2 linked regions of the Macaca mulatta genome follow. The protein of the gene in region 2 interacts with the protein of the main gene of each other region in a pairwise test. Links are inferred from orthologs where the notes say so. Each region holds a gene or a part of one and is shown on either strand. Other genes may lie near its edges. The genes, in order: TBR1 and CASK.

Evidence for each region.
Region 1: the proteins of CASK (region 2) and TBR1 interact in a two-hybrid assay, tested with the Homo sapiens proteins (2 studies listed by BioGRID and IntAct). The link is inferred for Macaca mulatta from reciprocal best matches to the Homo sapiens genes CASK and TBR1.

Annotation. Positions count from the first base shown.
Region 1 is NC_133417.1:66,229,640-66,233,988, reverse strand, and holds the start of TBR1 (T-box brain protein 1), read right to left. Parts: upstream 2,898-4,349; 5' UTR 2,784-2,897; coding exon 2,092-2,783; intron 1,517-2,091; coding exon 1,362-1,516; intron 990-1,361; coding exon 868-989; intron 305-867; coding exon 146-304; intron 1-145. UniProt on the Homo sapiens protein: Transcriptional repressor involved in multiple aspects of cortical development, including neuronal migration, laminar and areal identity, and axonal projection.
Region 2 is NC_133426.1:41,434,443-41,437,430, forward strand, and holds the end of CASK (peripheral plasma membrane protein CASK), read right to left. Parts: intron 1,443-2,988; coding exon 1,266-1,442; 3' UTR 731-1,265; downstream 1-730. UniProt on the Homo sapiens protein: Multidomain scaffolding Mg(2+)-independent protein kinase that catalyzes the phosphotransfer from ATP to proteins such as NRXN1, and plays a role in synaptic transmembrane protein anchoring and ion channel trafficking.

The sequences.
Region 1 (4,349 bases), on a different chromosome or scaffold from region 2:
CTAGGCCTTAAAACGCACAGCGGAGCCAGCTGTTGCTGATGTTAGCGCTGCTAGTACCCTAGACCTGCATGGCGGGAGGATGTGAGAGGGTAGGAGAGAGATGTCTGTGCCGCCCGCCTCGCGCCCAGCCCCTAGGTCTCCTTACATCCGTGTTCTGGTAGGCGGTGACGGCGATGAACTGAGTCTCAGGGAAAGTGAATGTCTGCACGCGGCCGGGCTGGCTGGTGTCCTCCGTGCCGTCCTCGTTCACTTCCACCACATGCAGGCGGGGCTGGTACTTGTGCAAGGACTGTAAAACCACCATCTGTCCGGCGGAAAGAAAGGGGAGCGCCGGGTGGCGTGTTAACGCGATCGCTGTGCGCGTGGCTGTGTGCGCCCCGCTGCGCGCCCGGACTGGCGGAGGCAGCCTGCAGCCAGCCTCCCAGGCTCACTGACCGCGGGACTCGCCTGGCTGGCGGCTGACTGGCTGGGGCAGACCGGCCTTCGCACCTCTGGGAGCGAAGATAAGCCGGGGCACCGGAGAAAAGGGGGAAGCCGACCGCCCGATCCTCAGGGCCCTTCTCCTAGTCCTCCTGTAAGGAGGAACAAAGATTTCCACAACCTGCAGATCTTGTGGGGTTTCTTCTCAAAATCAATCAGTATTAGTACTTGGGAAGGTCGGGCACTCCAAAATTGGGCCGACGGGGGTGTTGTCAATGAGAACAACTTCATAAATTTAACATAAATTTGGAGGGTGGAAATCCAATTTTTAAGTCTTTTTAATGAAGCAAAGAAACGTGTATCCAGTTCCATATGCTGCTTTGCACTGACGAACTGGATGTCAGGGAGGAAGGGGTGAGAGAGAACACGAGCGCTTGAGCCACTGACCTGCCCATTGTTATTTGAAGCTCCTTTGTTGTTCGTAAGTTTTAATTTTCCAAAAGAGATTTCTTGGCGCATCCAGTGAGCCCCAGTGTTGGGGGAATCCGGATGCATATAGACCCGATTTCCTAGAGAAAGAAATACGTTGTTTACATATGCCCCCGGCACTGCCCAGTCCCAGCTCCTCACCACGTAGGACACACACACACACACACACACACACACACACACACACACACACACCTTACTCCACCGTGAAGCCCATTAGCTGGGGCTTTTTTAGGCCGTTCTTTCTTCCTATTAACTGGGGGTGATTAAAATAGCTTTTGCATAATCCTCCCCCTTCTCGCAGCTCAGTCTGTCCCCCTGTCCCCCTCGTTTCCTTTTAGAAGTCATTGGCCGATCGTTTTAAAAGTCGCTCGAGCCAGTCCACAAAGGCTTTAATTAATCATTCTCACCTAAATAAGTGTCAAGAAAATGTGTTAATTGGAAGGACTTGCCTTGCACATTGGTGTCCGCTTTGCCGCAAGGAACCCATTTGCCTCCTTGAAACCTCCAGTGATTGGGATCCGCCAAAATCACATCCACAAAAATATTGTAATGAGCCGTGGGATCGAGACCAGAAATGTTAAAACTTAAAAAAGGAAACATGCGCCTATTTAAATTAAGGGGTGGGGGGAGAAAACAAGGAAAAAAGAAACATAAATGTTAAAGATTAAATGCAAGAAGCGGGGCGCCAGATAGCAAAGCAAAACTTGTTCTTGCAGCAGATAGGGACGAATATTTGATGGGTTAGAAAAAGGGTGGTGGGAGAAGAAAAGAAGTGCAACCCAAATCAGGGAGAGCGGCGGGTGAGCTGGAGTGGGAAGGCGGCAGGTATCACTGCCCAGGTGGAGAGAGAGGTTGGCGACCTGCGTCTCCACCTGTCCGTGCATGCCAGTGTTGATGCGTCCCTCCCATCGCCCAGCCGCTGGCCGGGGCTCTTCCTTTTTCTTGCCTTCCTCTGGCCACTGACTGGCTCTCCAACCACGTACCTAGAACGGGGTGCCCCCCACCAACATCCCCGTGGCGGTTATCCCTTCCACTTTCCCCCTTTCCAAAACCAGCCAACTCTAGGGCGCCTTCCACTCCGCTACCGACCCCAAATCGTCGCTGCCGCGGCAGTCACAACCTAGGTGCACTTGTCCCCGGCTGCGCCTGGAGCAGCGGCAGCCAAAAATGTAGTATTACCTTCCCTGTTTGGTGATGATCATCTCCGTTTGGTGCCGGTGAAATTTCAGCCAAAGAGGCCTGTTGCACAGGTACACCTGTGCTTTGCCGGGCACCAGCCCCGGCTGGGTGGAGGAGAACTGGTAGAACGGAGCTCCTTGGTAGGAGTGGCCGTACTGCTGTGGGTAGGGGTAGCCGGCCGTGGGGTATCCCTGCGGCGAGGAGTTGGACAGGAGGCTGTTGTAGGCTCCGTTGGTGATGACCGGGTGGTGGGCCATGTAGCGGCTGGGGCTGCCGATGGAGAAGGCGGGGTGCGCCGGTCCGTGCTGGCCGGGGTACGGGAACATGGCACTGGGAGCAGTGGCCGCAGACTGTGGCTGGCTGGACTGAGAGAGGAGGTAGCGATCTGCAGCAGAGCCATCGAAACTGTGACGAAGCTCAGAGACCCCGTCCAAGACAGGAGAGAGTTTACTTCTCTGGACGTCCCCTGGTGAGTCCTTGGAGTCAGGAAAATTGTCTGTATCTGACTGATTCGTCATCCCCCTGGTAATTTTTTTCAAAGGTGAACTTCTCTCCAGGTTGTCAGTGGTCGAGATAATGGGATGATCGTGCAAGACAAGCTCGGATCCGCCTGAATGTGGGTAGCTGCTGCTCACATTGAGAAATTTCTTGGAGAGCATGATAGAAGGAGAAAGGCAGTGCTCCAGCTGCATAGCTCTAGAACCTGAACACTCGCCCTCCCGTCCCTGGTTTTTAAAGTCCTATTTATCATAAACTAGAAATCCACAGACCCCCTCACTAGACAGAAAGCACTTCAACCAGCAAATGCTTCTCAAAGGTTTGATTTACTTTTTTTTTCCCTGGGAGAAGAGATTGGCCAATTGACACTATGCAGCAATCAGAAAAGGCTCACTTTTGATCTTGCTGCTTGTGCTGCCGATGAAACGGCTCCTGCCATTGGTTAACTGCTGACAGTAATTTAATTAGATAGACATTAATTAGGATAATCACCTGGCTCCTGGTAGCGACGATCATGGCAAATTGAAGGGGATGATTTTATTGTTGGCTTGGGGGGTGGGGAATGTGTGTTGGTTTACGTGAGCACTGTTGTGTCACCTTTAAGCTTTGTGACCACTGCTTTAGGAAGATTCAAAGATGTGCAATTTACTAAACATTTCCTACCTTCCCCCCCTTCCCCCATTTAGAGCGGAGGGGCGGAGGAGGGAATTCGACGATGCTAGGAGACTTTTCGGATCTGAATGAGCCAAATATTCAGTTGAATGTAACGATTTCAAGTGCAAAGTATACAAAGCGCGAGCCGGTGGCCTCTTCTCGCCCTGTAAAAGTTCCAGAGTCTGTCTTTTCCAGCTAATACAAAAGCACACAACACCTGAGCTGGTGCTTTGTGAGCAGGTCCTACGTGTCCTCGGCGCCCCCACCCCCACCTTTTAAACTGCAAACATAAATAAATAAATCCCTGCTGCTGAGAGCCACAGCGACAAGCAGAAGGGGGGGAGAAGAGGGGGCGAAAAGCAGCAACTCACCCACCAATCCACCCACCTCAGGAAGGTTCGGTTTCTTGTTTGAGCACAGAAACAGTGACAATCTATGATCTCCTTTTTAAGTTTTGAAATAATCATAAGCTGTCGGGCTAAAATGCCTTAATGTATTTGCAGTGATGTTTACCAGGTCTTTACTAAATATTTTATCAGCGAACTTGGTTGCAGATTATCTGAAGAGCATCTAACTGGGGGTAGGCGCCATGCATCCTTCTCGTCCCTCTGTATATCCTTCTCTCTGAGGTACTGGCTTGGCGACAGGTTCAAAAGCTTCGCCAGGAAAAGAGAGGGCCGAGTCCCCGTGCAAATGGGCTCGTCAGAAGCGCTGATCTGGGGAGACAGAGTGGAAGTGGTGTCAACACAGTAATCGCTACTGAAAACGTGTGTGTGTGTGTGTGTGTGTGTGTGTGTGTGTGTGTGTGTGTGTGTGTTTAATGTTTATATAATCTGGAGGGGAGAAAAAGCATCCATGCCAGTAATTTTAAAAGGAAAAAGAATCTAAAGAGGAATAGAAAAAAACCAATTTAAAAGGATGTTGGCACAAATAAATAGCACGAGGCCCAAAGAGACCCCGAGGTGTAGGAAGGAGGTCTCTCAGCATCCGCTCTACAGAGGAGCCCAGCCCTCGGCCTGAGCCAGAGGGCCAACAGCGGCAGAGGCTTTTTATCTGCCCAAAACTGCCTCCCGCGGCCCGGCGCTCGCTGACCTGCCCTCCCGCGG
Region 2 (2,988 bases):
AAAGATTATCAGCTTGGAAGCCTGAACAAATCTATAATGAAATGAAGGACCCAAAGGCATTTTAATTATTGAACACATAAAAGGAAGTATATTTAAAAAAAATTGGTCAAACTGTCCTGTTATCATTTTAAAGGAATTTACAGGGCTGTTATATTCTTTTGGAATATTTCAGTTTATAGCAAATGCCTAAACTGGTTTCTTCATTGCACAGTATTTTCTCTTAAAATGGGTGCTTTAAAACAATTACATACAGATTAAAAATCCTCATTTCTTTGCTTAATTAAAACGTTAATACTCTTAGACAACACAGATCTGAAATGGTGAAACCAGCAATTCCCCCCCACCTTACAACAAATTAAATTGAGACAAAATTACAAACACATTTCACTACATGATTATTATTAATAAAAATCAGTTTCTTTTTTTTTTTTTATAAAGTTGCCCAAAATGCAAGGGATGTGCATAGGTTTACAACTTAGTCATAATAGCATTTTATTCTTATTCCCCTGGGTGTGCCCCATGAACGGAATGTAGAATGTACTTTGCTGTAGATTACAGATTGTTTTGTCCAACACAGACACACCGACAGCATAAACGCTCGCGACTGTCCACATGCATTAAGAGTCAAGACCCAACTTCAAATCTCTAAAAGGTTTACAGGGTGCTTCAAAGAGACAGTATCACATTATCTGGATGTTACATAAAGGACTTAAAAAAAAATACTATTCTAAAAAAAAAAAAAAAAAAGAGAAAAAAGGCCTTTAAAAATTTATGACTGTTTTGTAATCACTACACTAATTATTTCAAATAAATAAAGGAAAGAAAGATATTCCAATCCATAAAATCAGACTCTAAAAAGAATGTAGTGTTCCACCCCCAGTCAAGGTAACAGAATCATTGTTTATTATTATTAAAATAGATTATAGAAAGCAGCATCTATTTTGTGCAGTTTTTAGGGGCCTTGGAAATAAAAAGCTATGATTTCCAAAAATATAACATTCCAAAGGATTGAATAATACATACATTTAAAGATACATTTTATTAAAGTTTAGGAGAACTGATTAAAAAAGATACTGTCTCTTTAAATTAGTGTGTAATTGTTTTTCTCCTCCTATCTATTCGGACATGACAATAATTATAAATGTAGGTCACACTACAACTAGGTAGTCTCTAGGGACCATGACCTGCTGACACAAGGCCGATAACAAAGAGGCTTTTCCACGTATGAGGTGCTCCCAGTTATGCTCAGATATCTGGGGAGAGGCCTAATAGACCCAGGAGACAGGGACCCACTGTGGGGCTGTGCACACGAGCTCAACAGCTTCCTCCAGATGTCTGATTGTCTCATCAATTTCATTGTTGATAATTGTGAGATCGAAGTAGTGTGCATATGTTCTCTGTAAGATGTCAGACTCCTTCTGCAGACGCTGAAGAGATTCATCCTAAATGGTGATGAGATGGAGGTAGGGGTGGGCATGAGAGGAGGAAAAGCAAACAGAAGAGAGAAATCAGTTGGATTCATTTTCTTTTCACATTTTTGTTCATCCCAGTGTCAGAAACAGTCAAGGCCAGACCCTGACATGCCGTATTCCAGCATGAGGCCAAGTCCGCTCCATGACAGAGGAGACAGTGATTGCTCAACATGCAACAGAGGGTCCATGACAAAGCAGACGAACCAGAGAAAACAGACACTCTTCAGGAAACATGCCACCCCCACTCAGGCCTAGCTATGCCTGTCCCCAGAGTCAGGCTTGGCAGGGCCATGCCAGGTATGGGTTAGAGTGGCTATGGTGGCCCAAACAGGCCCACAGGAAGCCCCCGCCCTAGCCTCAAGCCACTCTCCCAATTGGGAGAGGGAGATTGTGGCAAGGCCCGAGCTCTTTGCCCCCCTCCCCTTGGTCCTCCACACTCACTGGAGCCAGGCCTCAGGGCCCAGCTGGGTTTGCACCAGCAAGTCCCTGCCCTTGGATGACAAATTAAGTTGTATTTTTTCCTCTTGTACTTAAAGGTGCCACCGTTCCAGGAATTCAATGACATATAATGGCCCTCACTCAATAGCAGCTGATGCCAGAGGCAAAAGCTCTTTGAGTGTTACAAATAATGGCCGGAATAAGGCTGTTTCCCCAACAAACAGCACCTGGCATCTGATGAATCCCCCCAAAGTGGTCTGCATTAGAAATGGCTGGACAAATGTCACTGTTCACAGGTCCTCGTATCTCTTATGAAAAAAACCAAAGGAAGAGAAGCTGCTGAACTCTAGAGAGGTTTGCTGCAACAAAGGATGTTCCCTAAGCTGCAGCTTGCCACAGATTTTAAGAACTCTCGCAAGAGGGATCCAACAGGAGGAGGGAGTTTAGGTCCCAGCTTTGTCACGCAAGTGTAGCTTCCGCTACAGAGTGGCAGTTCTTTCAAGATAGGGGTCTCTTAAGAGCCACCAGAAAGAAGTCTGCCTCTATATCTTCATGAGTCAAATTTGTCATGCTGAACTCCCAAAGGGCAAGTTCAACCTTGACACTAGGGAACTTTGTGAGTCAAATTAACCCTACCTGCCAAACACTAGGTGGGTGAGCTCTTGGGCTGAGTCTCAAATATACATAGAGATAATGAAATACCTCTTTATTTGATGAGTGGCTCTGTCTCCAGCTATAAACTTGTCTTGTGTGCCCTGTAATTGCTGTGCCCCAGCATTAGGCATAGTGCCTTACACATAGTAAGTGCTTAATAAATGCTGTCAAAAGAACAAGCACTTGTCTGACTAGTGCCAGTCATTATAGGGTTTTACAAGTATTAAATCTAAAATCAAGAGACTGAGCAATTCTTCCCAGAAATGGGGGCCCCCCAGGTGACAGAAAAAGATCTCCAGAGAAAATAAAAGATGCAGTATCTTCAAGGACCTAGGAGCCGTAGTGCCCAGTACTGGCTTAGGGCCCCTCCCCTCCTCTTCTCTAAGGCCCCTCTGTTATTGGCAAGAGACCCTTCCTGGTGAGG